3 linked regions of the Struthio camelus genome follow. The protein of the gene in region 2 interacts with the protein of the main gene of each other region in a pairwise test. Links are inferred from orthologs where the notes say so. Each region holds a gene or a part of one and is shown on either strand. Other genes may lie near its edges. The genes, in order: ARL6IP1, INPP5K and MAD2L1BP.

Region 1 (10,873 bases), on a different chromosome or scaffold from region 2:
AGGAGGGTCAACTATCCATTTGGTTTAAGTTCATAGTTTCTACATACTCAAGAAACTATTTCAGTTTGAACTTTCCTCACCACTTATTAGAGCCAAAGATTCTAGGGGCGAGAGCAGGAACAAGGTAATCAGCCAAACAGAGGAACATAACAAAACAGGAAACGCCTGAAAGAACAGATGGATCCAAGTAGTAGATCATCCTGTAGAAAGAAAACAATGGAAATGATTTCTGGATGCTCAGTCTACTAAATACTTGACATATTTAGCCATCTCTTCAAATTGGCTCAAAATTGGAAACAGTAACCCTACCCTCTTGCCCACGCGCAAAAATCTTCCCCCCCCCCTTCAAATTTGCTCTTATTACTACTAAATATTTCATTGAATCTGTATTTGCTTTAATATTACTGATCAAACTACTAGTTTCTTAACATACTAGGTAAGAAAATGCTAGAATATAGCATAGTATGAAATACACTAGATCTCAAAATTCATTATTGCTCTCCCAGAAGTCAAGACCCAGCAAACATTACACTGGCTGAGGTGGGGAGAGTGAGGGGTGCAAGACCGTTTGTGAGCAAGTGAAGTAACCAGGTAGGGTGAAAGCTCTAACCTTGTTGGGAGCTGTAAGCCTCCAATTGTGTTGTGCTCTGACATACTAACTTTGCATTTTTGACTCAAATGCAACTGTATCAGTTCTAGACAAGAACTAGCTTATCTCATGAGTGTCTTTTAATACTTAACTGCACCCTGTGTTATTTATTTGCACTTAGCAGCTCTTCCCCAACACTAAAGTAATAGAAGTACAGAGGTGACAGTCCACTGCAGGCCCAATCTTTCTATACATCAGGCACAGTGCTACATGCTGAATGCTCCAGTTCATGTTTGATGAAGTACCAATTCCAAATTCAGGATTTGCAGTAGCTCTACTTCCTCATAGTATTATTGAGCATAGTATCTTTCCTGCTATAATTACAGACAATTTATTAGTGAATGTCCTGAAGTTCACGCAGTCACACTTCTGAAGTTACTTTTCAGCCTCATTTGATTTCTACCCTTCTCACCTCCCTTGAGAACCATAAGCTTTACTCAGAGTAGCCAGAAGACAGTTTATCCCTACCTCACCTAGTTCAACATTTATGATAACTGCCCTCTTTTCTTCACTCCAAGAAAACATGCAGCTGGCAAACCTCACAACAGGTGTAGACGCTTATCTGTATAAGGCTTGTAGGGGTCATCTTGGCTGCTACAGCATTACATAAAAGCACATACAAGCGCCTCCAGCAATGCAGTTCAGTATCTCTAACCCAGAGAGGGTTAACATTCTTCCACCCTGTTGACTAAAAATTACCTACAGTCTTTCCTTCTCCCCTCCTGCTCTCTTTTTAATGAGTGCAAGAGCCAGTCTGAAAGTACCAGTTGTGTGAAGATGACTGAATTCCGCCTAAACACCATGCCAAAAGTGCAAAATTGCTAACATTTCAGAGAAGTTGGCCCAATGGGAACAAGCTTTCTGTCATAACTTAAGACCATAATAGCATTGCTGTTGGCTTAGGGAAAAAAGCCACAGAAGATAACCAGATCTGACTAAGTAGCATACAAAGGGTGAGGGTTAAATACGTATAAAAAAAAGGGAACAGCATACAGCTGAAGGTGCTAAGAAGCTACAGCAGTCATCCCTGACAAACTTTTCCAGAAAACATCACCTCTCCCCTCACCCCCAGCACTTTTTTTTTTTTTTTTTTTTTTTTTAAGAAGTCTATAGCTAAGACATTGAAAGGAAGTACAAGATCTGAGTGGGATGAGAGAGGTGTTAGTTCTTGTTCCCAGTTCTTTTTTTCTTTTCAAGAAAGTTAACATGCATTAAGGAACAGAACTTGGAGTAAGAAAGCTTCCCATTAGGTTTTTAAAGAAAACGTCTTAGTAGTTTTCTTAACACTTCTGCCACTAGCCATGAGAGCACAATGCTGGTCTATGCTCCATGAGCTACTTACAGGAAAGAGAAGGAAACAACACTCATCAGTGCAAGAGGAAACCAGGCTCTCTCCCAGCGAAGAATTTTATCAGTCATCAAAATCACTTCTCCCCATCCTTGCAATTGCTCTTCTAAGCTAGCAGTTTCTGCAGCCTACACAAGAAGAGAGAAGAAAACTTGTTATTACTAACCAGAATATCACACTAGCTCCTGTATGTGAAGTATCTAAAGAGCATATATTAAATAAAGACTGCAGTCACAAATCCTTCTGTGTATTTACATTGCTAATGATGTTGTAAATTGCCTACCATATGATGACACTGTAGCAGTGACACTTTAGCATAAAGTCAAGACTCCAGCAAAGTAGCAGCAACTCTCAACTCAGTATATTAATTGGTACAAAGACTGAGGCAACTCTCCAGTTCACTTTATGCACTTTGCTATATATATTTTCCAATGATTGTTTAACCATATGCATGTTCCCATTCTTCCTCTCCTTCAAAGCCTTTTTTTTTTAAAAGAATTACAAAACCTGTTAATATAGAGCCTAACAAAAAGTATTCTTCTATAAAGCACTTATGTCATATCCCAAATTGTCTATTTCAGTTTTCCACAATTCAGTTTCCACAAGTTGCCCAAGACTGTGACAAGGGGACCTTTACACTCCTTCCTACACCAGCAAAGGCATCACATTATGCAATTGCTCTCAGCATATCTTTTGGATCTGCTCCAGCATAAGCTGGCTGAGCAGCTGGCCCGAGGAGTGCCAAATTTACTAGTTTGCCCTCAGCGGGACAAGAGATCTCAGATTACAAAACTCAAGTAACCACAAACAGAACAGACTATTTCCTACATAGCAAGAGGTTAAAAGTCATCAAGATCTGCACATCTGCCGTGCAGAGATGTCACAGCAGGTTTAATTCTCCAGTGGATGATACACTTACCTCAAATGAGAAACCTGACACCATTTCCCAGGATAACAGAGAGAGCTGCGTGCAGCTACCATGGTAAAGCACAGTTCTCTTATACAATACCATTGTAAGCTATTTTAAAACTACACTTACAGACAAAATAGAGTGGATAGCTATCTACCTGATATGCCTTCGAGTTATCACATCTATTTCATGTTTTATAGAATATAAACCCCCATAAAAATGGAAAAAAAAAAAAGCTGCATTTCTCCAGAAAGCATTTTACAACAAACTGTTTTTCTTTATTACTTCCAGCTGTCTGCCACTAACAACACAGTCAAAAGAAAATTTAATGGGAAACAGTTTGGAATATAACACAGCTGGTAGTAGCAGTCTGCCTCTGTCAGCCTATGAGTACTGTAACTTGTTTGCCCACAGGGCCAGGTAGAAAAAACTTACTATGTCAGTTTTGTCAACAGCAACACTATTTAATTCCAAAACACGTCCACCAAAAGTGATTTGTCATTAACCAAAGAACATTAAGTTTCCAGAAACATGAACTTCCATTCTGAAGGGGGCATCTCTCTAGACCATAGAACATGTTTTTGGCAACATAGATCTGTTTCTTTTTCCTTCTGAAATTTAAAGTTTCTTTCCACTTCTAAGCTACTGAAAGAAAGCATCAGTTCTGATTCCCTCAGTATCTCCTAACTGTCCAGCTTCCTGTTCAAAAAAACATTAGTAGGCACTCCACTCAAAAGTCTCCTTTCTTTCACCCCTTCAGCCCCACGCTTTTACAGCAGTCTCCCCAGCACCCGTTGTTCATCCATAACAGAGACGGACACAGTCACACCCTTGGCCAAGGCCACCTTTTACGTGCTTTAGTTACATTAATTATCCAGCTCCTGTCACTATCTTCCTGCACCTTTTAAACATCTAAAACATAGCCAAAGTATGTCGAAACATGAAGATATGAACGTTAAACGTAAGCCTTGCACATCAGGTAAAGCGAGGCATTATTACGAGGCTGGGAGCAGCACAGCAGCAGCAGTGCCGTTTCTAAGCGCGGCGCAGAGCTGCCCTAGTCGAACTCAGGCTCCGCCAGGCCCGAGTCCATCCACGCACGGCAGCGGCAAGGCGAGCGCGGAGCTCACACCGCTAAGGCGGCGGCCGCCGCGGCCAGGCCCGGCCAGGCCCGGCCCGGCCTCCCCGACCCTCTCCCCCGGCAGGGCCGAGCGCGGCCGCCAGCCAGGCCGCGGCGCGGAGAGGCCACTCCGGGCCCACCGAGGCCCTTCCCCAGCCAGCGGCCTCGCCACCGGCGGGGGTTGATGGCCCGGCGCCGCCACCGCAACACCCCGCCGGCCCCGGGAAGGAGCGCGGCCCCTCACCAGCTGGTTGCTGCTCTTATTGTCGCCCTCCGCCATCTTGCGCCGCCCTCGCGCCGCCGCCCCCGACCGCGCCCCGCGGCGCCGCGGCGGCCGCCGCCTCTTATAGCCGCGGTCCCCTTCCCCGCCCCCACCTCCCGTCAGACCGCGGCAGCTCTGCCCGACATCGCGATTGGCCGGCTCGAAACGCAGCGCGAGCCAATCCCAGAGCGCCGGCCGGGTCTCACCGACGGCCGGTTGGCCGGTGGGAATTTGAATAGAGAGACTCAACCAATCAGCCTGCGGCATCCGCCCCTCCCCCACCCCCCCCTCCGTCGCAGTGCGACTGCGACAGGAGCGGCCGTTAACGGCCCGGCCGCCGCAGGGGCGGCGGCGGCGCCTGGGCCCGGCGGAGCCGGTCCAGAGCGGTGCAGGGTGCCGGGGGCCTGCGCCCTCCCAGGCGCTGGGCAGCACGCTGGAAAGCGAGGAAGCTGCTCAAGGGCCAGAGGCGTCCTGGGGACGGCAACCCAGCAAAAGCGCAGTCAACATCTGAGACGTAACTGCAGTGTTGTTAATGCTGCTTAGTCAAAAAATAATTGTCTGGGCTCAGTACACACCACACTGATTTCATGGTAGAGGCACGTGCAATGTGTTAAGCAGACGTTTTATTTAGCCGTCTTAATCCCTGTCCCCTTAAGACCTTCAAAGGGAATCTGTTTTTATTTTTAAAAGTCTTAGCCCTATAACATAAAAACGGGATTATCAGAAGGTATTAAGTAAAAGGCTTCTCAATGTGCTTTTTTAAAATGTTACCTTTGCTTGTCATATATAGCATGTCTTAAGAATAGTACTGAAAACGTCCAGAATGTTTCAAGACTACTAAGTACCCTGCTGCAGCTGAAATGTCAGAAATGTCACCAGAAGATCTCACTAACAGAAACTTTAAGAAAGTTGGCATGTCTTTAATAGCATATATATTTAAACTGATTGCCTTTGACTAATGTGAAACAACCAGTATGTCACCTCTAAGAAAGCTAAATCCAGTTGCAAGAGATGCCTTCAAGATTACCACACAGGAAGCAGATGAAATAACCCATAGCTCCCTGGAAGTTGCACTAGGTCTGAAAACCACAACTGACCTAGGCACCATAATTACCACCAGGAGTCTAACAACTTGCTTTAATTTTTTCATAAGCTGTAGTAGCACAGGAATAGACATGGGAGAAATGCACTAGGGTTGTTTTTTTTTTTTTTTTTTCCCGACTCAATGTCCTAATACATGCATGACTGACACATTTATGAGCTTAATCACAGCCGCTAGGATGTAACGCAACTCCAAAGCGAGGGGCAAAAAAAAAAACAACCAACCAAACAAAAAACCTGCATTACTCTTCTTCCACCTCTTCACCTCGATTCACGAACTTGACACAGAGCAGAAAGGGGACAGTGCTAGCTTTCACCTGTCTTTGATCTTCCAGAATCTTGAATGACTTTGAAGAGCACTATAAGGAATAGATACTTTACTGAACAACTTTCAAATTAATTTACTTGCCGTTCCTAAAAGCTGAGAATATCTTTGTGTATAGTTTTGCTCTTACCTCAGAAACGTTGGGTTCCACCCTCAAAATCCATTATTGCACTACAGCAAGCCTCAAACAAAAAATAATTTCATAAGAAAGTGGTGTCAGCACCAATTCTGATGAAAGTCTTTTGAGAAAGCAACGCACTGCGCTTCTACTCGTGACCATGCTGTTATTGTCGCAGCGTCCTCAGTAGGGCCAGCCAGCCAGCTCCTACTTTCATCTAGTTGGATGATTTTCACCACAAAAACACAGCAGTCATCAATAAAAAAAGCAGATGTTTTCTATCATCTCCATCCCCACCGCCAGATTCATTGATCTCCCAGGTGGTCTTTCAAATGCCAGTTCCCAAATGAGACTACAGCTCCAGCTTTTCTCCTGACCCAGTGGACCCACACAGGTCTCCCTCCCTTGCGTAAGTGCTCTTCTGCACCTGGGGTGGGGAGGGGGAAGGGCAGAGTGGGTCTCCCAGGACATCCTCGCTGTCCAGGAAGAGCATCAGTTCGGGCTCGTGCCCTAGAGCAGAGAACGCAAGAACATCAGGCTCTGCCAGGCCGCTCAGTGCTCTCCTGTGTGAACAGCCAGGCCATGAAGCACGATGCAAATCCAAAAAACAGGTGCATGTGTGTGCATACATGTATGTGTATAAATATAAATACAACATTTGTTAAAACTCCTAGTCCTAATACAGGACTAGGATACAGCGCTATCAGTAGCTCAGAGTGTGGAAACCCAGTCAGGCAAGTCTGTTCTTCACTTCCCACACGTTACCTGAACTAATAGAAAACCAGTTGTTTCCTATATGCTTCTACATATCATGCAGATAGTGCTGCAAGGTAGAGGCACTGTTCATACACTGACATTCTCACACACAGTTTGCAGCAAGCTTCAGACTTGCTCACCCCTTCATCACCCCTTCATCACATGGAAAAACATAATAAATGCATCTAAAAATGTTTTTCCCTTATGCTATCAACAAAAAGACAAAGCCGGATAGAAGTGAAAAAATGATCTGATTAGCTACACACTTAGGTACACACAAAAGTAATTTAATATTTAACATTTATCTAAATTTCTTAAAAAAAATGATATTTCACTAAAATGCTAATAGTGCACTCCTGAATAGGTATTTTCCACTAAAGAAAAAATATAAACTGCATATGATACTTGCGTACCCATGTGTTTAAGAAAGCAAAAGCTAGATGAATGGCAGTTCATCTTAAATGTTTTTTCCTAGAATGATATTTAATCCATAGAGGGGCATGCCTGCTAATTCAGAAAAAGCTTGCCAAAAAAGGGGAGGGGCAGGCAAATAAACTTTTGAAGCACCTGAGCGTGCTAAAACAGCAAGGCCAAATGTACTAGGTACAGTACACTGACGAAAGGAAATGGATCTTCAGGACCACAATGTTTACAAAAATTAAGCTTTAACTCTTCAATCCCCTCCAGTATTTTTGGCATAACATTTGTATATGGTGCTTTTCCTTGAGAGATCTCAAAGCAGATAACGTATTTATCCTTTGTTAACTGCTTTGAATAGAAAGCAGACAGCTATGTGGTTATTGCAGGGGCTGCGTTCACGGTCACTGTGATTCCCACTGTGGAGTCTGCACAATGAAGCATGCTTGTTTCCCAGGCAAGACGACATAGCACTAAGTCTCACCAATGATTCTACAGAAACCCAATTCAAAGCCTTCTCCAGTCAAAAATGAAAAATGTTTTTCTCCACCTGCAATGTCTCAAAACTCTGATTTATATAACAGACTTGAGTTTGTTACAGATATTTGAAAAATTACAGACGAAAACATTTTAAAAAGAATAATCACCGAATGCAAAATTGGATGTTAAGAAGGAAAGAAACAGATCATGAAAAAAGTACTGCAAAGCACTAAAAATTCCATTACTGTAAGTATTTGCTACGATTTCAACTTGAGTTAAACTAACCTGACATGCCACTGAAGACTCATTTGCTTAGGCCTAAACACACTGCAATAACCTATTAGGTAAAGCAGTGCTTCTACCCTGATTTTAGAGAAGGGGAGTGGGAAGATAGACAAACTAGTAACTGGAGTCCCAGAAGGCGAAGAATATCTCAGCCATTAGACTATACAGTTGAAAGGAGGCAGCAACTTAAAACTGCTGCACCCACTTCAAATTTGACTGCAAGGAATTCATTTATAGCATGATCCCTTGGTTAAAATTCACTGCAGGTGAGCATCATGCAAAAACACTGCCATCAGCTGAACAGTTCAGCTTCTATTACTTCAGTTGATTTACGTGTGTGTACGAAGATTTTGATTCTAGATTTGCATTATTCTAGGTTTTGTTGCAGCAACAAAGTTGATGTCTCAGTTTTACTGAAATAAAGTAACTTTATGTCTTTACAGGAAAGAGATTTGTAAAGAACAGTCGTCTTTAACATGCAACACGCATGCACAAAACCTGCTTCAGAACTCTATTTTAGGTTTAACAAAGACTGAAAGAAAAATGTGTTTTTGACTTCAACACATAAAAGCTGACAGTCCCACAAACTCCTGAACAGGTAAGCTGTCTCCTTAACATTACACACTTAATTCTGCAGAATCCAGTCCTAATCTGGGATTTATGTACTAGGCCTTTTATTCTTCCTCATAATTTTCAAAACCACCAACAGTTTTGCATAAAAGGAAAATTATGAATACAATTTTTTTTTAAAACTTTATTAAATTATGCAGTAAAGAACCCATCTCCACACAAGTGTTTCATTTCTGGACAGCAGAGGTATAATACATGAGCCACAGGTGAGTGCATTACCCCTCCCTTCCCCCAACTTCCAAGAAATAAAACAGCATGTATAATACACTCTTATTACTATGGTACTCCAAACAGATTGTTCATAAGGTTATTTTTAACTGGAGAAAAAGTAAAAAGGACCAACAGTGTAAAGTGTCTTGTTCTGCACATGAATGTTCTTCACTGCAACATTCAAACACCTTCTTTCTTGCAATACATGGCATGGCAGAGGGTTCAGGAAGCAATGACAGTGGAATGCATTTGCACGAGTATCATTAAATATAAAGCCTGTGACTTCTCTGGAGTTAATCAGACAATCAGAATGCAACCAAAAAAAAAAAAAAGGCCATGTCTGTTGAAATTGCTTACACTTCAAAGTGCATGTCCATGAAAAATTGGCAACAGAGGAAAAAGCGAACTCTAAGATCTACTTAGGAGGCAGAGCAGTTAGCATAGTGCAAATACTGAAAATAATATAAGTTCTTCTATTACTTATGTCTGGTGTTAATTTGTTACCTGAAAAATATTAGCCAAGCTTTCTACTCAAGATGAACTGCTGTAAATCCATTCAATTAAATGAATTCTATGCTAGTAGTGAACTTGGCTCAAATTCTTTAATACTTAAATTTTGATTGAAAAATTAAAGTGTGTTTTTACTCTGAAAAGTGACTAAAATGGCCTAAAGGAACTTCCCATGTCTATCATTTTTCAGCAGCTGCATGTAATATATTCACCAAATTTACAAAAGGAAACTTTTTATATGTAGCTATGCAAATTTATCTGAGCCAGAGAAAGCCAATGTGCATTTCTGCCTTGGATATCAGCACCTGTAACAGATTCTGTAGTTACAACTGAATTGTTAGGTTTATTTGGTATAAGAAAAGCAAGTTTCCTTTTCCTAAAGGTGTTCCAGAGCCAAAGACAGTCCAAGCTCCTTTTAAAGGTAAGGAAGAAGTATTTTAGACAACTCACAGACAAGCAGGACATAGTTCTAAGTAAGAAGATGCCATTTTTAGAGAGACTTTTCTGACCATAATCACACTTTGAGTGCAGAACTGATTAAAAAAAACAAAAAGCCTTGGTGGAAGATTCACTATGAATGCATTATTGAACAACCATCTATAGAAGTAATATGGCAAAGCAAAATTACTTTGCAGAAATCTTTACAAATCTAGTTGAACAAAAATTGGAGCGTCCTTCATTTGTTGGATTTTATGTATACTCCTGTGAACCGAAGCACTATAATTTACAAGTGTAAACTAAAAGTATTAGGAAAGTGAAGTAAAAAGCGTATCACTCTACCTCCACCAGAACATCACTTTATTGTTTATCTGTCATCAACAATGTAAAACTCTACTAGATACTCTATCCTGGTTTTTAAAAAGGTAAAGATTACATTGGATTAGGTACGTCGTACGAAAGAAACTACAGCAATCACAGTAGAATGAATTGGAGGGACAATTTGAATTACAAAAAAGTGTACACTGCAAGCAGAGGGAAGTGCACGTTAAATCAAATGCCTGTAGGATTCATTACTTTTAAATGCACAGTGACAATTTTGAGAAACTGTACATGATAGAATCACAGAAGTGACTTCAAAATAACCAAAATTACATTTTGCATTTGACCATCCAACTCATAAGTAATCATTGATGTTCTACATTTTCAGTGCTTTGGGAAAATTGGTTTACCAAACAAAATTCGTTAATTTGACTAAACTGTGAAGTAGAAGGATTGAAATAAAAGGTATATTGGAAGTACGCCTAAACTACAAGAATAAGCCAGAAGAGGGCTATGCAAGGAGAGGCCGGGAGGGAAAAAAAGAAAGGAAAGAGGAAAAGGAGAAGAGAACAAAGGCTTTTTCTTCTATCTCAGAAGTTCTTCCAATGCAGCGTATATCTGATGTTTAGCTCTTTGCTTTCAGTCCATTTCTGAAGTTTACATTTTGTAGCCTTTTTCTGTACTAACTGGTCAACTCAACCAGCACTGTTGCCAAGCAACAAGAGTAACAAGAATCTGAATGCATCAAATCTTCCTTTGCTGTGATTTCTTCATGGCCCCATTTTTTTCTGTTTTTCTTTGAACAGGGTTCGGTGTTTCCTGAATTGTTCACAGGGTCAGGTGGAATTGAGTTCCAAATCACTCTGCGGTTTGTAGCATCCCGATTTCTTTCTGCAGCTAACCCCCAGACACGTTTGCAGTTCTTCCGTAGCAGAAAGACAAACCGTGCTGTTCAAGCGGTGAACTTTCACCCTTGACCTTGGGGGTTGCAGA
Region 2 (10,418 bases):
TTTCAGCTAATAAATTGGTGAAATATTATGGTCTGTACTGCACTTGCATACAAGGTTCAACTAAGTGAGACACATACGGCTTGTCAATTTATTCATTATTAAATAAACCATACATCCTCTCTCCCACCACAAGGCTATTTAGAGGCACGCACCAACATAAGCATTAAGTAACCAAAGCAATTAAGTCTCAGATAGTTCTTTACCCAGTATCCATAGAGGCCTGTGCGCATATATTGGGTATGAATGTCCCGTATGAAAGGAAGGTGGACATACTTCACAAAGATTAGAAGTAGCAATCCCTGCATGCGAACAGAGGAGAGCTGGAACAGAAACAGAAGACAGGGTCACTTCCACAGATATCTCTGGAATTCCTTGGATCTACTCTGCAGAAGCTTTTAGATAAAGAATGCCATACCAGAAGTCATGCAATTCCCTTGGCAAGCCTGACATCAGTACTGTGATACAACACATGCAGACACATTTCGGTGCTATAAAGCATAAGTTCTCACGGTAGACTTGCTTATGAACAATTTTTGATAAGTCTCTCAACTAATTAACATTACTGTATTATATTACAAATCTGAAGTTGACCTCAAAACATGAGTATTTGTCCACACAGTAAGTCTTTAAAGACCTTTTTTCTGTCTCATCAGCCTATTGTTTCTCTCTTTAAGCATCCTGTTCATGAAGAGACAAATCCTTGATTTTTCAGCCATAATCTTAACAGCACCAACCTACAAGTCCTCCAACAAGAAAGCTTTTCCAATAGAAACATCCTTCAGCACATAATTGACTGTTCTGAACTCCATTAAAAATATCTAAAAGGCACAACAGCTACTTCTAAGCATCTGCAGAAATAACAAGCTGTAAACAGCAGCAACTCTTGCTGCAATGCCTGTAAAAGCTGATTTACTGACTACTTCCAAAAGAAAGATCCTTAAGGAGCATGTATGACACTGTTTTTGCTTTAAGATACTTTTTTTTTTTGGTATAGAAATAGCCTAATGAAGATGATCTTTGTTAAAGAATATGTTATTGGGATGTTGCTAGCATGAGACACAAGATTCAGTTTAAATATTTGTTTTAATGATAATGAGTCTATTTAAAACACGGATGTTATAGTTCAATTTTATATTTGATGAACTAACAGCAAGACTACATTAGCATAAAAACTGATACTAAGAAAAACACTGACTATATAACAAGTCCTTATCTCGCTCGAAAATTTACTACAAAATTCATTCGTTCTTAGCCTCTACATCAAAACAATTAAATGATTGTAGGATATATGTTACTGTTTTCATTGTCCGAAAAAAATGCATACCATTAGTATATTTAAATGATGGATCACAATTTACTTTATAATACATAAATATTTGTATCTGATCAGACATTTGGTATAACCTGTATTCTCCTTTCCATAATTAAGTTCAGGAGATACCAAGATCTTTCAGTCCCATTAGAGACCATGACAGGTAAAGAGGAGATCCAGTCTGCGGCTCAAGTCTTCCAGTTTTCCAAAGCTCAAAGTCTATTTGCTACGTTCCACTCTTTTCTGCTGCGGGCCAGCCCCTAAACATAACTCAAGATCCACCGTCCACTATAAAACCTCCTCCCTCTGCAGGCCTTGAATATCAAAACACAATGGCTCCCTCCTTTGCTGGGACTTACACTAGTCCCACCAACATGTAGTGCCAGATCGTGCAAAGCCTCTTCACAGAAGAGACATGACTCTGCTTATGGTGAAAAAACTGACTGATCCCAACAACCTAATGTTCCAAGAACAGACCCTGCTAGCGAAGTGACAGAACATCCAAAGGAGGACTATGACCCCTCTACATCCAACCTCATCCAAGGTCAACATAGAACACTTAACTGTTCCTCTGTTTAAAAAAGCTTATGCTAGGACACATCTGGAAAGCTGGCTCTCCTAGTTGCCCATTTTGATTTTGACCTGGCCTGCCAGTAAGGGAAGGCATGTCAATGACCCAGGTCTCTTGTTGGAGCTAATTAAATCTTGCTGAAAACCATTAGGTGGCAGCATCCATTCACTAGTGCATCCTAAGCTCTGCATCTACAAATTAGAAATTCACTCAGCCATGCATACCATAGGGAATTCATTTTAACTGTATACAGGGCCTGATTATCATCCTGTGGCCATATTTTGAAAGTTTACCAGCAACATCTTACACTAGGATGAACTATGTTTTTCTTTCCCTTTTTTTTTTTTTTTAAACTTCCAATAGGTCCTTTATTTGATTTAATTACATTTTTGTTTAGTTACGGTTAAAAGAATGGAACAACTATGAGTCTTATTAGCATGCAGATAATATATTAATTTCAGCAAAATCACCCTGAAATAATTTAGAAAACTGCTACAACATTGAAAAGGCTTTTAATATTAATTTATTAGAGAAATTCAGGAGAATTTACTGTTTCCTTCACTAAAATACCTAGTGTTTTATTTGATCTTGTGTCCCATATATTGTCAAAAATCTTGTTGTTTAAACTTTCTATACAATGTTCTAGGCCCTTAATAAAGTCCTCAAAAATCTATACACCTGCTATACTCCTGTTCTATGTTTAAGCAATTTACTTTCACCTGTAAACAAATTAATTAAAAAAAATAAAAAAAGGAAGAAGAAACCTTACCAATCTTAATGAAAATCACTGCCATTGCTTGGGATACTTATAGTGAAAGCAGGTACTTAAGGAGACTACATTAGAAGCATCACATTACAGTTCCCAAATATTGCACAGAGCAAAAAAAATTTCTACAAACAAGAGAAAGACAGAGATATTGTGGCCACAAGAAATATGCTGTTAGACTGCAACTTTACATCACATTTCACTTTAAGTAATCTTGTTCAGTAAACTCTGTTCCTTGAGAATGTATTCTCATTAAAACAGGAGTATTTTCGTATTCATCACATGGTTCTACACCACTTGCATTAGCCACTGCACGCATACCTGAACAAACATCTCCTCGCTGTTTGTCATCCCATCTGCAAAAGCATCAAAACTACCTAGCTATTCCAAACACGAAATAAAATTCTGTGTGTCCAATTTTTACTGCTAAACATTAAGGATACTACTATTAATAGAAAAAAAAAAACCTAAAAATGCCTTTACCAACAAACCAAGAGAACACCAGTCTGGCAGAGAATCACTTCTAACATACATGCACCTATGGAAATGATTGATACCTGTAAAAGATGTGTGTTGATGGTGTTTTTTACATCTCAGTTTGAGGAAAAAAAAAGTCTGAACGGAGCCGAGGAAGACATTTTCCTTCACTGTTGTAATATTTAGAGATGTAAACAGTTACCTTGAGGTATCCCAACGGTGACAGTACAGTCATGAAAAAAATGCTCCAAGGATCATCAAATGCCAAGTCAGAGAGAAAGTTTGTGATCCTTGAGTTCACCTCCTGTAAGCTGAACACATGAAAATTACTCGCACCGGATCATCGGGTTTTAACAGAATTCATAGAACCTTATCACAACACAAACCACAACATCCCAATAGACCTCTCTGCACCTAAGCGAGAAATTTCTTAACGCTGTTCAATTTCTCATTTACAAGCAGTTTAACCCATCCACAGGTCTAACACTAAGAAAAGCTAAGTTAAAGGAGCTTATGTACGCACACAGTCAGAGTTCAAGACAATACCAAACTCCAGGTAAACGATGACAAAGAACACATCTTGACATATTCAAGTAAGTTTGGAAAAGATGACAGTTTCACTAAAAGATGACGCAAATCCAAAAGGGCACAGATTCTACCTAATTAGTTTGCATCCATTTCTTTAAAACATACTGATTTTCAGATAACTTCCCTATCAAAACGAGCATGTTCTCTACTTGCCAACAAAGACCACAGCAGCCAAAATATTTTTTAATTCTATGCGCTTAGATAAAGAAAAGATATTCTGTGTTCTGTCATATGAAACAACATCAGAAAGAGGAGAAGAGTCGCTTGCTATAAATCATCTCTGTTCTTTGGCATTAACTCTAACCTTCATCTTCTGTTAGCGACAGTATTCAACCACCTCCTGGAAGGTTATTCACATTGCACAGTTCTCCCCAAGCTGACAGTAAGCTGTTGAAACTTATCGGCTTTGCAGTAAACTAACAAAGCAAGTTCTTCAACATATACTTACCCAATAACATACATATCCATAGCTGGGCCCAGTGAATTGAGCTGAAGTAAACTAGTGACATCAGGAGGTGGAGAAGCTGTGCCCACATTCCAGGTAACTACGTGCAGTCTACAAATAAAGAAAAAAAAAAATTCACATTTAAATTCTAGCACTGGTTTTGTGTGATAAGTAACCTGAAGAGCATCTAACTTCTCTGACAGAATTTCTGTCTACAGAAAACAAAGAAAATAAAGATTTTCTGTCATTTTTTGGCCAATTAGAAACCTATTTATTAGCTAGTATAAAAAATAACAATCAGTTAGTGAAGGAACAAAACCTGAATTCTTGCCACTTGTCCTTCAGCTTTTTCCCCCAGATAAGGAAAGCTTCATCTAGAGTGCGAGATACTTCTTCATGAATTTCATCATCTGAGCTGATGTCCTCTACACAAGCCATAAGCTGGGCTACTCGCTGACGGAGTTGCAAGCGGCCACTGGACCCCGCGCTGCTGAAACTTGCAGAACGGCTGCGGAAGTTGTGCAGGCTTTCTAAATCATGTAGGGAGAGGGCTGATGACTCTTGAAACGCATCTTCACTACTGAAGGATGCCATTTGCTCAGAAGGAAAGAACAGCTATATTCCAAAGGACCAATGCATTAAAATCCCAAGTATAAAACAAACAGCGAGATGCCTAAGGGTCTCGAAAAATCAAGCTTTCACTCATATGAAATTCAGCATTGCTTCAAACCCAGGACAAATGCAGATGCAGCAGTGCTGAAAAAACTGTAGCACTACCACCACATTCAACAGCTTGTTACAAAAGCTGCAGTCACATCCTGCCTCACACACTGAATCATTTTTTTCTAATAGATTTAATGTGGTTAATTCTATAAGCTTAAGATTTAAAAGAATTTATTGTTGATTTGAATCAATCATGTGCTTCCATTTGTAGGTTAGCAGAAATATAATCTCCAGCTTCCCAGCATACAAACACTCAGTTCAGGCCAAAACCAAACAAACCTACTGCTCCTCTTGAGTGCTTCCAGAAACATACTCTTGCCACATAACTTACCTACTGTTTCATTTTAAAACAGTATTTTCTATATCACAGCTTCTAAAAAGGGATTCACTTTACATTTATTGTGTAAAGGCCCTATAAGCACTTCCATCTGGTTAAATAATTAATCCCTACAACACACCCATTATGTAAGGCAGTACCTTTATCCCCCCTTACAATCAAGGGTCTGCTCAAGGTGACACAAAGTACACAGAAGAACTGGAAAGTGACCTTAAGCTCCAAACTAGTTCAGTGAGCCACGATTTTTCTCATCAATAGTTTCCCTTTATAAGGCTACACTGAAGTCAGCCAAAAGCTACAGTACAGTAAACTGACCCTAAAATAAATTTCTAGAGGAAAAAATTATGTAGGCTGCAGATCTCATGCTATCATCAAAGAGATGTATCGCTTGGGAATTCTCTCCAATTAGTAATTTTTGCAGGCAATTACCCGAGAAGTCAAAAGTCAAACAATATTGAAGTTATCAGTCATTACTGACAGAAATTAAATTCTCCCAATACCTACACTACTAATAAGAATACAAGAAAGACTGCAGAGCTCAAATTTGCACCAGAAGAAGAATATTTGTAAAAATTTCAAGAACATCCTTAACGATTCAGTTTCATTGCCGGTTATGACCGTGTCTGCAGGAAAGACTTAACAGTTAGGGATATATAGGTACCTGTAGAGTAGGTAAGATCCTGTGGCATTATGCCATCCCAAAGGCCTACCGATGCTCTCTAGTGCTTTACAAGGCCATACAAGAGCTAACTGCGGCGAGGAAAGGACTACAGCAATTCCAGTTCTCACTTGATGCCACAAACAGACCCGTTACCAACAGATCGGTGGCTGCTCAAGCTATCCTCTCCTTCCGTACTCAGCACCACGGCATCTTAAAACACCTGCGAATCCCCTCCCAATGTAGCAGAAGCCTTCAGCACCACGAGAGCGCTGCCCTGAGCGGGCCTGCCACAGATCAGCTCCTGAATCCAAACAATTTTTAAAAGATGGCACTCGGTGTCACCGGCTCCTGTCATTATTCAACAGCAGAGAGGGTGGTGGTGGTGGTTTGTTTTTTTTTTTTTTTAAGGCTCAGAGAGTCATCCCCAACAGGCCGTTACAACCATTAGGCTACCCCTAAGTAAACACGAGGTTTATCTGCCGTTTTTCCTCGTTGCGGAGGACTGCTCACAGGCTCCGTTAAGCAGAGGCTTCCCCTCGCCCGCCGTCGGCGACACCGCACCGCGGAGGACGCGGCGCGAACAAACGCGCTCCCCTCGGGCCCCGGGCGAGCCCGCCGGCTCGGCCCTCTCAGGCGCTGAGGCCCCGAGCACCTGAACCACCCTCGGTAAGCCGCCCTGAAGCGGCTCCGGGGGGGGGGGGGGGGCAACGTTTTCAAAGCGGAAAAGCAGCTTTTCTTCTCTATTTCATGTGACTACGTAACAGCGCTGATTAGCGTAACTCCCCGCTAATGAGCAGAAACACAGGCTTCGCTAATTCCCAGCCGTTACGTAAAGCCGCCACCGCTCTTCTGCCCTTATCTCGGGGAAAAAAAAGCAGCGCGCAACACCCGCCGGCTTCGGCGCGGCCGCTCACCTCAGCATCCTCGCGCCGCCGCCGCGCCGCGCCGCCTCCATCCCGCCGCCGCCGCCGCCGCCGGCGGGAAGCGCTGCGAGCGGGGCAGGGCGGCCCCGGCCTCGACCCCGGCCCGCGGCCTCCTCCGGCGCCTCGCTCCCCTCAGCGGCGGCGCTCCGCGCTCATTGGGCCGCGCGAGGGTCACGTGGCGCTGGAGGGGCGGGGCGAGGCTGGGCGCGGCGGCGGCGCCGCCAGGCGCGCCGGAGGGGCGCGGGCGCCGCCCGGGGACTCTCTGCGGCCCCCGCAGACCCTTTCCGCACCGCCTCGCAGCCCCCAGGGCTCCCCCTCTGCGGCCCCCGCAGACCCTTTCCGCACCGCCTCGCAGCCCCCAGGGCTCCCCCTCTGCGGCCCCCGCAGACCCTTTCCGCACCGCCTCGCAGCCCCCAGGGCTCCCCCTCTGCGGCCCCCGCAGACCCTTTCCGCACCGCCTCGCAGCCCCCAGGGCTCCCCCTCTGCGGCCCCCGCAGACCCTTTCCGCACCGCCTCGCAGCCCCCAGGGCTCCCCCTCTGCGGCCCCCGCAGACCCTTTCCGCACCGCCTCGCAGCCCCCAGGGCTCCCCCTCTGCGGCCCCCACACTGCTGCACCCAGAACAAAGGAGGCGGAAGCGTAAAGCTCAGTCTAGTATTTTATTAGATTTCATTTCCAATATGCCTGTATTGGAAGATTAGGAGACAAAAAAGGCACAAACTCACATTAAAGAAACAACGAGATAATCTAACCCATTCTACAAAGTGTGTGTTGCCAAAGGAAAGAGCACGATGAACTCATCAGAACGTGGCGGGGAGGCCCAAGGGGATGAACCCAGAGACGTGCAGCAGGTGGGGGGCAAGCGGCCCTGCCGGCAAACCGGCCCGACGCGGGTTGCGGGCCCCCGCGGCACAGTACGCGCATCCCAGCGGTACTGCGGCGCTCGGAGCCAACCGGCACCGATCGGGGAGAGGGTCACAGCCCAACCATCGCCCTAGAACAGACAAACAGCCCAGCGGTAACCCCTCCGCGAGCCAGCAGGGTTTGGGGTTCTTGCCAAAGCCAATGAAAGAGCTGCAGCACCGTGGCGCTGCATGGTCTTCAATATGCTCACTAGCAGGAACCAAGCATCGAGACTGAAAGGTTTTTTATAGAATTCATCTATCCCAAGGCTGAGGGATGCATTCACTTTGGATTGAATCAGGAGGAAAGAAAACAAGGAGAAGAAAGAAAGAAAGAAAGAAAGAAAAAGTTCAGGATGGAGTTCCTGCATTTTTTCCCCGTTTTTTCCACTAATCAGGAAAGCTTTATGTAAGAGCTCTTACCCTGAAAACAGAGGATCAGCAAAGGATTGCATGGTGGAATGTTACAATCTGCTTCCACAGCGATTAGTGTCATCAGCTAGAAAGCCTCTTGGATAACACAAATTTAAAGAACAAATGTGCTATGTATTCTCAAGTTGTCCTCAAGTGTAAGAATCCCTCAAAATGTAACCAACAAACACGAACAGAAGTCAGTGCATAAATTCTCAGTTAAAAATATTTTAAACTGAAAGAACTATTAAGTGGGGCCTACTCTCCTAAAATACTTCTTGAACACCTACAGGAGATGCCATGAAACAACATCCTGGTCCCAAATAGCCTTGCAGATTAAGATTTAGTATCTTCACCTATTTTACAGTAAGTTTGTTTTACTTCTGCCTGGTGTGTTTGCTAAAAATCCCTCATCCCCCCCCACCCCGCAAAACCGTCTGAGGTCACTGAGAAGAGCCTGCCAGAGTTACTGGTACAATTCAGAGCTTATTGCACTTAGACATGAGTAAGGCAAAAAAACAAACTAAAAAAGGGATAAACTGCCCCCTCCCCAGTAACCAAAAGCCATCCTCTCCCTCCAGACCATGAATCATTTTCCCTCACACTGAAAACAATTCAGACCCCAGCATGTACTTGTTCAGCATGGCACGGGATCATTTCAGGATTTCCTGCTTGCAGGAATGCGAAGGGCTGAAGGAGTCAGATGTATTAACGAACGCCAAAAAGACTCCTTGAAGGTACAGATACACCCACGTCTGTGTTTAGCATTCAGTATTTTCCGTTAGCGCCACCAAATACAGAAGTGGAAAATAAAGTGATGACTCTTGGGGGTGGGGGGGAAGTCAAACATTGGGCCTGATGCATAAGCAAAGAAATTAGGGTTTTCTCATATGTATTTAATAAAGCACTATTTTTTTGATTCTGTTCTGCTTATTTGATTGTCTAAAGCTGGTATCAACATAAGGATAGTTAACAGATAGTATTAGAGTTCATTAAATACCCAGAGCTGTTTTCATTGTTCAACAGTATCCTTTGCAACTTTTAAAAACTGGCAAGGTATCCTACAAAACAACTGCAGGTCTTTGTAAGTTACTGTTTCATAGAAGGGAATGACATGTTTCAAGTCAGTCTTGCAATGGGAAGAGTATTATTGCTGAGCAGAACCACCAAACCAGGCACCTGAACGTGATCAGATACCGAGACTTTACTTATACACTAGCTTTGCTACATTCTAATTTGTCCAGGGAGAATCACATTATTATTAGTCAAAATAATTTTAGTTTTGTAAGTTATGCTAAGTCTTACTAAAGAAAGAACCAGGAAGTTGCAACATTTCTCAAGCAAGTTTTTACAATGATCTTATAAGACTGACACATGAAGCTAAAGGACAACATGGCTACATGGGCCAAAGGGACCGTGTATCGCTAAACTGAAACTCAACAGTTATGTGCTGAAGGACCTAGCATGGGGATGCCGAACACAGCTTCTGCTCAGTCTTTAACTCACGTGTGCTAAGAGAGAATAAAGTAATGCTGTGCAGAAGCCACGTATCAGCTTATATTCATTGCAGACCAAGAACTATCTCTGGCTTCCCTGATTATGTATTCAGATTACACGCCATTAAATTTGTTACCTTGGGAGCAAGGTCAGGGCATATAATTTTGTGGAATAGTTTTGCACTCTAAAATACTGAGAGGTTCCCTCTCCAAATAGACTTTCAAAGAATGGTGAACGGCTGGGCACAAACAAAGGTGGCAGTTTATCCCAGTTAAAAAAAAAAAAAATCTAAGTCACCACATCACAAGACTATTTTAGCTAAAAATGTCACTTGGAAATCAAACAGGGCCACATGGAAATTGGTCTGAATACAATGAAAAAAAAAAAAGGAGGGAGGAGTCGTAAATGCAGCGATCTCTAAGTCACACGTCTCCAAGGAGCTACCTCCTTCATATACGTGCTAACATTGGAGTGCTTAGTACCAGACGGTCTATTTGCTCACAATATTAAAGGGCATCTAGAATTAGCTATGGGAGATTTAAAATCGCCTGCTGATTGGATATAGAAAGGCTTGATCCAGAGATGGTCCATCAGTCAAGAGTATGGATTCCCCAGGCCTTCCTGATGACTGTCTTGCAAACTAAAATAGAGAGACAACAGGAAAACGTTTCAGAACCACTTTGGAAGTGTGCCAGAAGCTTCAGATTGACCCCTCAAGTAAGTGTTTAGACACCCTGTCTCCAGCGCCGACAGTGGCAGTACACCACTGCATCACTACATTTCAGCCCTAATCCAGAACAGAATTTC
Region 3 (10,803 bases), on a different chromosome or scaffold from region 2:
GCAGCCAAGACAACGCAGAGAACATATTAAGAGAGATTCATAGACGTTTTTGTTCAAAATACAAGTCAATACCATTATTTGCCTGAAGAACAAATTTAGGCTGGGGCTTAGTTCTGTAAAAAGGAAAAAAAAACCCAACACATTAGCATCTCTTTTGGGGAGCTTAAACTGAATTAGGAAGGATATGGCTTACTGGTGGATAAACTAAGAACTACAGCTGTTGATCAAGGACTTAAGGAAGCAACTTGGGAAGGGATTTTACTAAAGGAGCAAGTTTCTAGAAAAGCAGTACTTGAGACCAAACACCTTCTAACAGCTACTAGCTTTAGGATTACTACTACAGAGGCTGACCAGAAAACACACTGCTGAGCAAAACTGCTCTTCAAGTGACTGACCTTAAGAACAAGAGAGAATCTTGTTCTCTGTGGACTGGCCAAGCCAGTTTACCTTTCTTCTCAGAAGGATAAGGGTCACATGTCACAAAGCTACCAAGCAAGACAAGCTTAAAAATCTGAAATAATTTAAGATTGAACTCTGTGCACAAGGTCAGCTCTACTTTACATATCTGACTGTAACAATCAGGATTGTTACAAAACTCAAGGAGAGATCCAAATACAAGTGAAGCACTTCAGCTGGGTACAGACCACAAAACAAGTTGCTGTAGTGAAACTTCAACTCACTGTGGCAGTTACAAGAGTCAGAAGAGTTTTATAGACTTCCCCCAGGAACAGTCTTTCAAAAATGCAGTTAACTAATGTCCTTTTAGGGTCGACATATACGTTCCCACAGGGATTGCAGCCTTTCCTCACGAGATAGTACATACACCGCGCACCTGGGCAAAGAAGAACTTCAAGAACATTGTCACTTACTCTTACATGCCACGTGGGGGGCATTTTGCTGCCTTCGAGGAACCAAGGCTTCTGGCACAAGACATCAGGCACTTTGTCAGAAAGGTGGAACAACTGTGAACCTACAGTTCAGATATGTACAGAGAATCAAAGCATGTTGCTCTGCAACCACCAGAAGCAGTACTTTGAAGGGTTAAATAAATCTACTGTAGTCACATACAGAGACCAGCATTTTATTTTGTTGATAACTACTAGACTTGTTAATAAAGCTCTAAAGCTCTTCATAAGAAAAGAAGGCATCTTGTCGTCTTTCATTCCCAACACCCTATCATTGCTGCATTCATAATTCAAGTATAACAGAATATGTAAACAGTTTAATGCAATAACATTGCACTCACTTAAGGGAGGGAGGGGAAAGGGACCGGTCCCTTGTTCCTCAGAACGAAGGCTTCTGTTCAAAAGCTTCTTTAAATATTTGAGTGCTAACATTCTTAAGTATGCATTACAAGCAGCTGTGGTGGAAGTAAAGGGTTTTGATCTCCTGAGCACATCAAACACTCCACCTGTTCAAGTCACATTTCAGTCAAGAGACCTGTGATCACATGCTGAAGTGGGCAGCTGCACCTAAGGCAGCTTTCTTCATTCTAGCAATTTCTTCCTGGAGCTAGCTTTAGCAGTCACCACATCTTTGTTAACCAACGGATAGTAAGGCAGAGACAGCACTCCTGGCATTCTCCAAGCTCAAAAACGTCAACTTAACTACCTTGCTTCCCGTTCTACAATCTTACTCCATTCCAAAAGGTCAGACAATTTTTTTTTTTAAAGGAATAAGTGCAGAGCCTCCTTTCAACAGATCTTCTAGTACCTCACTAGTGCGAGTAAGAAACTACAAGCAACCTCACTACCAGTAGCCTACAATTTCAAACAGGAGAGAGATATTTGGAGCTACTAAACTCATTGCATTATAGGTACGTACCCAGCTGATGCAAGACGACTCCAGTGGATATCTAGTTTGACACAGCGTACTCTAAGGGTTTCTCTCTGTGTCCCATTCTGCACTAGACACCAGACCTGGTACAGAAGAAAGGGCTCAAGTTCTACTTCCAGGTAATACAGAGCATTCCAATTTGGAACAGGAAGTTCACAGTTAAAGACAGTGTTGAAGTTGATCATATCCCCATCATCTCTTCTCCACATTTCAGCAAGCTTTAGAGTCTCAGCAAGCTTTAGAGTCTAAGACTCTAACATTTCTAAGAGGTAAAAGTAAGCAAGAACTGAGCCTTTTTTTTTTTTTTAAAGGAGAAAAAAACAGCATAATGGGGCAGGAGTCCTAACTTCCTCTGAAGAGTGTTAGAACAAAAATTACTTACTCTTGATTTTAACAAACTGATTGTCAGGGCTGTTGGAGTCAAGGTTCATAAAGAGACACCAAAATGTGCTTTTCTGCCTCCACAGGACTGCTTAACCTTTTTTCACAAGTACAGCACAGTGCTAGGTAAGAAACCTCCCAATTGCTAAGGTGTCCTACTCTTTGGATGATTAACTAGCTGACATTGAATTATGGGAAGTCTAATTTTATCAAATAGATGATCAAACACTTAAGTATTCAAATTTGATCACACTAAAGGGAAAGATCTCTTTTCCCAGCAGTGGGATAGGTAAGAATTGCTATAGCCTTTACTATAAAGGCTACTAAGCCCTGGAAAGGCCAACTGCATTAATAATCACGTGCATTATTTAGAGTCTGAGACAATTTGGTAAAGTAATAATTATTGCTAGAGGAACTGCTGCATTAAAACTCAGGAGAGAGAAGATCATATCCAGTATTTGCCAGTTCAGTAAGCATGCTGCAAGAAAGTTTTACTCCCAGCACAGTAGTTCCATCTGCTGTGCCACAGCCCAGGTTCCTAAAGAATGCCTGTATCGATATGTAACTGTACCTTAAAAGGTATTTGTTTTCAATAACAACATGGGGAAGAATTTTACAGCTGTTTCATAGAAAGATGAACACAGTCCAGCTACAGGAAGATAGCAGATGCCCTGGAGAAAAGATCCAGAGAGACAAGAATATGCAATTACATTTGATAAAATAGTCATCACCTAAAGCAGCACCAAAGGTTATTCAATAATCCATTGAAGTTCTATAAAGCACGAGTCATTCATGAAATCCCTTGAGTGTCACCGGTGCTTGAAACCATATGTAATCCTCCCAGGCCGATGTCATACCCTGAGGAGATGAGGCACTTATACTGACGTCTCCATCAGAGGACAAGTTGACAGTTAGTTTCCTTCCTCGAGTCGGCACTTTGTAGTTGAGCTTGGGCCGGAACCAATCAACACCACAGTCGCGGTGTCCTTGGAGCATAACGACAGTGCCCACGATGGGGAGAACCTTAAGTTCACTGAAGACATCCGCTATGAAGAGCGAGTGAAAAAGTTTACGCACGCAGAATGGGGTTTTCAGGCTCTCCTCAGCGCTGCCCACACAGATACCCTCTAAGTTGAGCTCATAAAGCTCCTTGGGGCTCACAGCATTGCCACCAAGCAGAATAAGAACACGGGGAACCAGCGTCAAACTGAACATCACTTCCAAGTGCTGGAGCACCCCCTCCAGCTCCATCAGCACCTGCTGGCATTTCTTGCTTGCCATGTCCATGGAGGGCGGCTTCTTAATCACGTCTCCATCCTGTCAGGGGGAGGAGGGGGAATTAGAATACTTGAGAAAAATAGGGAAGAGGTCTTAATACACTCTTGTGAGGTGCAGCACATCCCTTCCCTAACACTCAAGGGAGGTTGGACAGATTTTTTTTTTTTCTTTTAAGAGGTACAGGGCAGCTCATATGGAATCAGGAGGTCCGAGAGGAATGCAAAAGGCCACTCGGTAGCTGCTCAGCTTGAACCTGCATCAGGCTACTAATGAATCCTCACAACAATTAGGGACCCCAACTTTCAAAGGTGGGGAAACCACCCTGAAGCCACTTGAGAGCAAGGCAGCGTGCGGTGGGCTTGGCCGAGCCACAAACGCAAAACAGCGAGCCACGCACTTTGAGCGGAAACTGGGACGCAAGGGATTAACAGCAGCGTCTTGACACTTTTAGCTGTCGGCCTTATTTTAAAACAAGGCTGCGGCATGGCTAAGGCTTGAGCTAACGCGGGCGTCTCGTTTCAGGAGAAAGTGACGCCGTTGCCAAGCCGCGGCGCCAGCAGAGCGCCGCGTCGCGCCGGCCCCGCGCCTGGCCCCGGCCCCGGCCCCGCCGCCCACCTGCGCCGCCCGCCGGCAGAAGTAGACGAGCTGCTCGTAGGGCAGCGGCAGCTGGTGCCGCTGGTGCAGGACGTGCTTGAGGAGCTCGCAGGCGAAGCGGCAACAGCTCTCACGGCTCACGGCGCCCGGGAACACCACCGACACCGAGGGGCACCCCGCCGCTGCCGCCGCCGCCGCCCCGCTCCGCCGGGACCTCACCCCGCCGCGCTCCGGGGCGGCCGGCGGCGCCTCGGCTGTGAGGAGCGGGGACAAGGCAGAGGTCGCCCGCCGGGGAGGGGTGGGGGCGGCGGCCGCAACAGCCACCGCTGGGGCGCAGGGCCGCTCCGCGCCGCCCGGCGCCGCCATTTTCTGAGCGGCGGCGGGCGGTGGCCAGCGCGGATTTGAATGGCCGCCGCCGCGGGGCACCATGGGAGCGCTCTCGCGCGCGGCTTCCGGGGCGGTGCCGCCGCCATGTTCGGTGGGGGCGGAGCGGGGCCCGGGCCTACGTGGGGGCGCTGCCCTCGCTCCGGGTGCGGCAGCCGTGCGGGTGCTTGGTGAGGCCGGAGCCCCCGGCCCCGCTGCGCTGAGGCGCCGCCGGCCCAGCCGCGGGCGCCGTGAGCCCTCCCGTAGGCAGGGCGGGCGGTTTCTCCCTCAGTGCCGTTGGTCCCCGAGCGCCCGTCAGGCGCCCCCCGGGGCCAAGCCGAAGGCCCTGCCGGCCCCCCAGCCCGCTCAGGCCTCTGACCGGGGTGGGGGGGAGCCGCGCTGGCTCTGCCCGGGCTGGGCTGCTCCCGGGGCGCTGTTTTGCGGCGCGTTGCCGCGCCGGGCGAAGCTGTTTGCCAGGCGGAGGCGGGGGAGCCGGGCCAGGTGGCGTGCGGCCAGGGCCTGTCGTGTTTGGAAACAACGTGGCCGCAGCCCCATTGGGCGCAGCCTCCAAAACACGGCCCGGGGAGGGCGGTCGCGCCGGTGGGTGATGGGATGAGCAATTCCCCAGTGCTCCCGTAGGGTGAGGAGCGCTGTGTGCGCACAGCACGGCGACCTTGGCTACCTCTTAAAAGCACCAAAGGCTTTAAAAGCTGTTGATGGTAGCACATGTTAATCGAGCATCTCTGTCCCCAGGGGATGGAGCTGAGAAAAATGAGGCTTACTGGCAGTAGCAGTAGTAGCATCAGAGAGACAAATGAGTGGCAAAACATGCAGTGCATTACTGGCAGAGAAGGTGACAACACGTGGCAGGAGGTTCTCATCCTCAGCCTGTTGCTTTTACCCTTCTCAGCAGAGCTTATGGTATCTTCTCTATAGTTCCGTGCTGTGATACCATTTCTGTATAGCTATTAAGTATTTCTGATGCAAACCTTATTCGTAAAAACCTTTTGGCTCCCTGTCCCTGTTGCCAGCCGGAATCGGTGCCAATAGCTGTCACTGAAGTGGAGGGTATCAGGGCTCGAAGCGTGCAGCAGGCTGCGCCCCGGCAACATAAGCTGCGAATTGCAGAGTCCCCAAGGGAGGGTGGCAGGTGCTGGAGGAGCACCCCCTCCCTCAGCCTTGCACCCTCGGAGACCCTCGGTGGTTCCCTGGCCCAGGCCCGCTCCCCAAAGCACGGCCGAGGAGAGGGGCGGGGGAGCACCCGGGGTTGGGGGGCGCGACCTGTCGGCGATGCCCGCGGTGGCCGCCAGGCGGCGCCCTCCCGCCTCCCCCGGACTCCAACTCCCGTCCGCCCCCGCCCGAGGGAGCCCGTATAGGAGCGGGAGCGGGGCGGCGCGGGGCGTGCTGGGAGTCGTAGTTCTGAGCGGTGGGGGGCGGCGCGGGGCGTGCCGGGAAGTGTAGTCCGGCGGCGGGGACTCAGTTTCCCGTGGCGCCGCGCGGCGGTTTCTGACGCCGGGGCCGGGGTCGGGGCCGGGGCGGCGAGCCGAGCCGAGCCGAGCCCGGGCGGGGAGCGGGCGCCGCACCGGGCCGGGCCGGGCCGGGCCGCGCCGCGCCGCGCCGCGCCGCCATGGACTCGCGGGTGTCGGAGCTGTTCGGGGGCTGCTGCCGGCCGGCGGGCGGCGGTGCGGGCGGGGCGCTGCGCGGGCGCGGGGGGGCCGCGCCCGGCGGCGGCGGCTCCTCCAAGGCGAAGAAGAAGAGCGGGCGGAGCCGGGGGGCCAAGGCCAACAACCCGCCGTACCTGCCGCCCGAGGTGAGCTCCGCGGCGGGGCCGGGCCGGGGCCGGGCTGCGGGGCGTCCCGGTGGGGTGGGGGGCGGCGGGGCTCGGCGCCTGGCAGGCGGTTTGGCAGGCGGTTGAGCCCGGCCCCGCCGGCACCGTTTCCCCCGCCGCGGGTTTGACGTGGCAGCGCTCGTGGTGCCGGGCAGCCCCCGGCGCGCTCGGCCAAACCGCGTCCGTCGGCGACGGCTCGCTGCCTGGCGTGCCCCTGGCAGTGCTTTGCCGTCGGGGAGCTGAACGGCTCGGGGAGTAAAACCTTGCTCGCCTCGCAGTCCCAAGCCTGCTGTTGGCACCGCTGCTGGGCAGTCGGTCTGGTGGGTGCCGGCGTCTTGCCGGCTGCCGAGCTACTAGACACCGCTCGGCAGCTTCTGGTGACACCCTTCGCGGCTCGCTCCGCCGCTGTGCCCTCGCGCCCGGGTGCGGAGGGCGCTGACAACGTGAGAGGCAGTCTTCTCGCTCACCTCTTACCGCCGGAAAATACGGTATCGGCAATAAGTAGCGTGTTGGTTAGTTCAGACAGTTGGCGGGGAACCGATAGGACCGCCGCTGTGGCGAGCCCTGCGCTGCCCCGGAGTTGATTGCTCAGCCCCGGTCAACAGGAGTCCTGTAAAAGAGGTAGGAGCCTGCTGAGGGGGAGCAATTCCCCGTGGCAGCAGGGAGTACGGGGCCTAGCTGCTGTTAGATGACTGCTCCACGGACAGGACTGTCCCCTGCCGCTGCAGTTGGGTTTTGTTCCTTTCAGCTGGAGGCTGGACGGTCCCTGTGGCTTCAGCACAGCTTCCTGTCCTCTGCTGCCTTGTTCGCTGTGTGGTCCAGCAAGTCTAGACTTGTTGCTTTTCTGGTCTCGGCTGCCTTGAAACCGACCCACCACCCCCTTATCACATACAGCGTTGCATGTGCGTGCAGTGTTTCTCTTAGAGCTGGAAGGATGGTGGATGGTAACAGGAAAACCTTTTGCAAGTACTGCTCTCTCACTGAGTAGTTTCACTGCCAAGAGCAGAGCTGATAATTCAGAGCCTCCCTCTGTTGGCCTTTTGCCACCATAAGCTCTGCTGTGGTTAGGAGCTGAACTAGAAGGCAAGGAGAGGCTCTTGCCTCTCTTGACGTGCAAATCAGTGTCTAGAGAAAAGGGAAGTGCTCAGTGCTGGCAGCCCGGTTTAGTCTGTCAGAGTACTTGGTGTCCTGCAGGCTCCAGCCCTTTCTCAGTGGTCCTTGGACTGAAGCAGTGGGAAAGTTACTTCAGTAGTGGCCATACGTTTTCTCTGAGAGTTGGTGCCTGTTGTGGTTGGAGTGCGCTCGATGAGTTAATGAGTCTTTCTGTTTCGGGCTGTGACAATCCAATCTGACTGCAGCCCTTCCGAGGATGTTGTCCACAGACGCTCCTGATCGTATCTGCTTCTCCAGAACTGTCAGGCCAGTGACTACTTTGCTGTACTACAAACAAGTCAGTAGTTTGCTTCCGTATGTCTGAAGGTCCTTCTCTCTGCAAGGTAGATGTGCATGGATATAGGAAAGAGTCGATGAAAAAATAATTGGATGAAGGGCATAGCGGTGTGTGGGAGAGGAGACAGCGACTTTTACCCCCAGCCAGCTGTTTTCATGCACGTTGGGCGGACAGAAGGTGCTGGATAGTGTGTGGTGGCAGTGTGGGATGTGAATTGAGTGGGGTGCGTGGAGACTTCTGATCATCTGCCAGCCTGTGCTGTTTTTTTGAAACTGAAAGTCTCTCTGACTTTCAGACTGGCCTCATCCTTTGCTGTCAGTAAAAGAAATGACTCTAATTTAGCCTCTGTTTTTCGTACTGTGTGATGCAAACAGCAGAAACGAACCCAAAGTAAGTTCCAGTACAATGTAGGAATGAATGGCAGGAGAGGCTGTGACTAACACTGTATGTTTCTGCAGTTTTCCCTCTCTCTGAAAATGGTAGCAGGAGCTTCACAGTGCCTGGGTGGCTGGTGCCTATTGTCCCTGTTGGCACAGGGTCTGACCTTTCTATCTTGTTTCATTCTCTGACTAGGCAGAAGATGGGAACATCGAGTACAAGGTGAGCCTTCTGAGCCTTGCAGAGGGAGGTCTTCCTCCCAGAGGATTATTTTGCAGTGAGTAACTTCAGCAAAGACAGCATATGGGGGACACGTTCAAGAAAGGGACAGAAAAATAGGCACTGGACTAAGGAGTTATCTGTCTACTTCTGGGTCTCTGTATGTAGCAATGCTCAGTATGCTGAGCTGGAAGAGTTGGATCTCCTTGCTTGTTTTAGGAACCTGGTTTAGGAGATGAGACCCACTGTACTTTTCATGAGATCTTCCTCCTTTGATGGAGATATCGAGGTATCCCTGATAATCCTTTGCCACTTGCTTGTGGCTCTCCAGCTGTTCACAGTTATTTGGTTCCTGTATCACAAATATGTCGCATGGTGCTGTTTCTTTGCCGCCAGAGCAGGCAGGGTACAGATCCCTTCTGCAAGATGCAGGAATGTTCTTGTACCCTACTATCATCAGGTGTGTTTTCAAGACGTGGGGTGGGGGCATTGCTTCATGGTGTTGGGCTGGGGAGTTGCTTCCTTGGGCAATGGGATTCCCTGTGTACCCAGGCTGTGACTCTTAACTACCCCCTCCGTTGAACAGCTAAAGCTAGTGAATCCTTCGCAATATCGCTTTGAGCACCTGGTGACACAGATGAAGTGGCGACTACAAGAAGGCCGAGGTGAGGCTGTCTATCAAATTGGCGTGGAGGACAACGGGCTGCTGGTGGGCCTCTCAGAAGAGGAGATGCGTGCCTCGCTCAAGACACTGCGCCGTATGGCGGAGAAGTATGTGTTCCTTTCCCTCACTGGAGCCTGCAGGCGTAAACAGCCTCCAGTGTAGAGAGGCTCGGCCCCCAAGGGGCAGAGGAGGGGAACTAAGGGCTCCAATTCACAAAGCCTCTGTATGACTGAAATTCCCTTAGCGCAAGGCTCTGGGAATAGCAGGGCAACTTGCCTGGAAGCTTGAGGCTTCTGCCCTGCGGTTTCCAGCTTTTGGCCCGTTCACTTTGCCAGGTCTGATTTTACAGGTGCCGAGGGCAGCTGAGTACAAAACGCGTGTCCCACTCTTCCCTTTGCGTTTGTGGCAGGGTTGGGGCAGACATCACAGTGCTCCGGGAGAGGGAGGTCGATTACGACAGCGACGTTCCAAGGAAGATAACAGAAGTCCTTGTCCGAAAGGTGCCTGACAACCAGCAGGTAGGAACCTGCAGCTTAGCCGTCCTCTCCTGCTGGAGACTTCCAGCCTTCATTCAAGCAGCTTCCTTTTGGGATGGGAGTCCAAGCCCTAGAGGCGCTTTGTCCTAGATTGGCCCATAGCAGGTGCTTTAAAGAGTTGCCAAAGAGAAGCTTGAGAGCAACGTTTTTCATCTCCAGGATTGCGATTGCAGCAGATTCCAGTAGGGGAGATTGCCTGCATGAGAGGTGAGAATTATTTCACTTCTATAGCACTGGTTGTGATGCAGCCCAGTGTGCAAACAGGGAAGGATTTGCAGTTATTGCTGCAACAAATGACTTTTTTTTTTTCTGATGTCAGAGGCTGGTGTATGACATCACAATGGTAGAAAGTGTATTGCAATTCCTGGGCTGTGATTTGCTGAGAGAAGGAGCAGAATCTGAGGAAGAAGATTACGCTGCACAATGCCCATCGTGCAGGGAAAGTCTCTGGTACCCATCTCTGCTGCCGTGCAGCATGGGTGCACCAACCAGCACAGCAGTGGCGAAGTTTTCCGATTTCTTTGTTGCTTTTCCCTTAGTTCTTAGACCTGCGAGTGGCTGTGCTGGGGAATGTGGACTCAGGGAAGTCGACGCTTTTGGGTGTCCTGACACAAGGAGAGCTAGACAACGGGAGGGGCAGAGCACGCCTCAACCTCTTCCGGCATCTTCACGAAATCCAGTCGGGAAGAACGTCGAGCATCAGCTTTGAGATCCTGGGCTTCAACAGCAAAGGAGAGGTGAGGGAGTGGCCTGCTGAACTCAAAATTGCTGGGAGAGGGTGAGATGGTGAAGGAGAGTATGGCTGCTTGTTACTGTTACAACAGTGAGGGGACATGACGGAAGAGAGGTTGCTCTGCTCTGTGTCCCCTTAGCTAAGCTCGAGTGCTGCCTGTCCATTTGCAACAAACAGTTTCTTACATCCATAAAGAATGATCTATATTCACTAATTTTGAGGTCAAGGTGGTCTGGTAAGGGCTGGCTCTTCCTTCACTTGCCTGCTGGTGCTCCTTCTTACTGAGTCCTCATGTTCCTCAGGTGGTGAATTACAGTGACTCCCGGACAGCAGAAGAGATCTGCGAGAGTTCCTCCAAGATGATCACTTTCATTGATCTGGCTGGCCACCACAAGTACCTGAAAACAACCATCTTTGGCCTCACCAGCTACTGCCCAGACTTTGCTATGTTGGTGGTTAGTGCCAACACTGGCATTGGTGAGTGCTGTGCTGCCTGCACTGAGAAACACACAGATGGACTGACAGCAGTATGTGAAGATGCAT

What was found.
Region 1: the proteins of INPP5K (region 2) and ARL6IP1 interact in binary tests that used the Homo sapiens proteins (3 or more experiments, as listed by UniProt). The link is inferred for Struthio camelus from reciprocal best matches to the Homo sapiens genes INPP5K and ARL6IP1.
Region 3: the proteins of INPP5K (region 2) and MAD2L1BP interact in binary tests that used the Homo sapiens proteins (3 or more experiments, as listed by UniProt). The link is inferred for Struthio camelus from reciprocal best matches to the Homo sapiens genes INPP5K and MAD2L1BP.

Annotation. Positions count from the first base shown.
Region 1 is NC_090956.1:10,490,370-10,501,242, reverse strand, and holds the start of ARL6IP1 (ADP-ribosylation factor-like protein 6-interacting protein 1), read right to left. Parts: upstream 4,390-10,873; 5' UTR 4,308-4,389; coding exon 4,272-4,307; intron 2,126-4,271; coding exon 1,992-2,125; intron 201-1,991; coding exon 81-200; intron 1-80. UniProt on the Homo sapiens protein: Positively regulates SLC1A1/EAAC1-mediated glutamate transport by increasing its affinity for glutamate in a PKC activity-dependent manner.
Region 2 is NC_090957.1:15,964,742-15,975,159, forward strand, and holds the start of INPP5K (inositol polyphosphate 5-phosphatase K), read right to left. Parts: upstream 4,769-10,418; 5' UTR 4,754-4,768; coding exon 4,479-4,753; intron 4,271-4,478; coding exon 4,163-4,270; intron 3,438-4,162; coding exon 3,329-3,437; intron 321-3,328; coding exon 204-320; intron 1-203. UniProt on the Homo sapiens protein: Inositol 5-phosphatase which acts on inositol 1,4,5-trisphosphate, inositol 1,3,4,5-tetrakisphosphate, phosphatidylinositol 4,5-bisphosphate and phosphatidylinositol 3,4,5-trisphosphate.
Region 3 is NC_090944.1:103,723,730-103,734,532, reverse strand, and holds MAD2L1BP (MAD2L1-binding protein), read right to left. Parts: upstream 4,459-10,803; 5' UTR 4,456-4,458; coding exon 4,111-4,455; exon of another isoform or gene 4,102-4,110; intron 3,535-4,101; coding exon 3,004-3,534; 3' UTR 1,122-3,003; downstream 1-1,121. Other genes in the region: epoxide hydrolase 1, read left to right, coding at 767-968; GTPBP2 (GTP-binding protein 2), read left to right, coding at 6,080-6,262, 8,304-8,330, 8,914-9,098, 9,401-9,509, 10,067-10,264, 10,563-10,737. UniProt on the Homo sapiens protein: May function to silence the spindle checkpoint and allow mitosis to proceed through anaphase by binding MAD2L1 after it has become dissociated from the MAD2L1-CDC20 complex.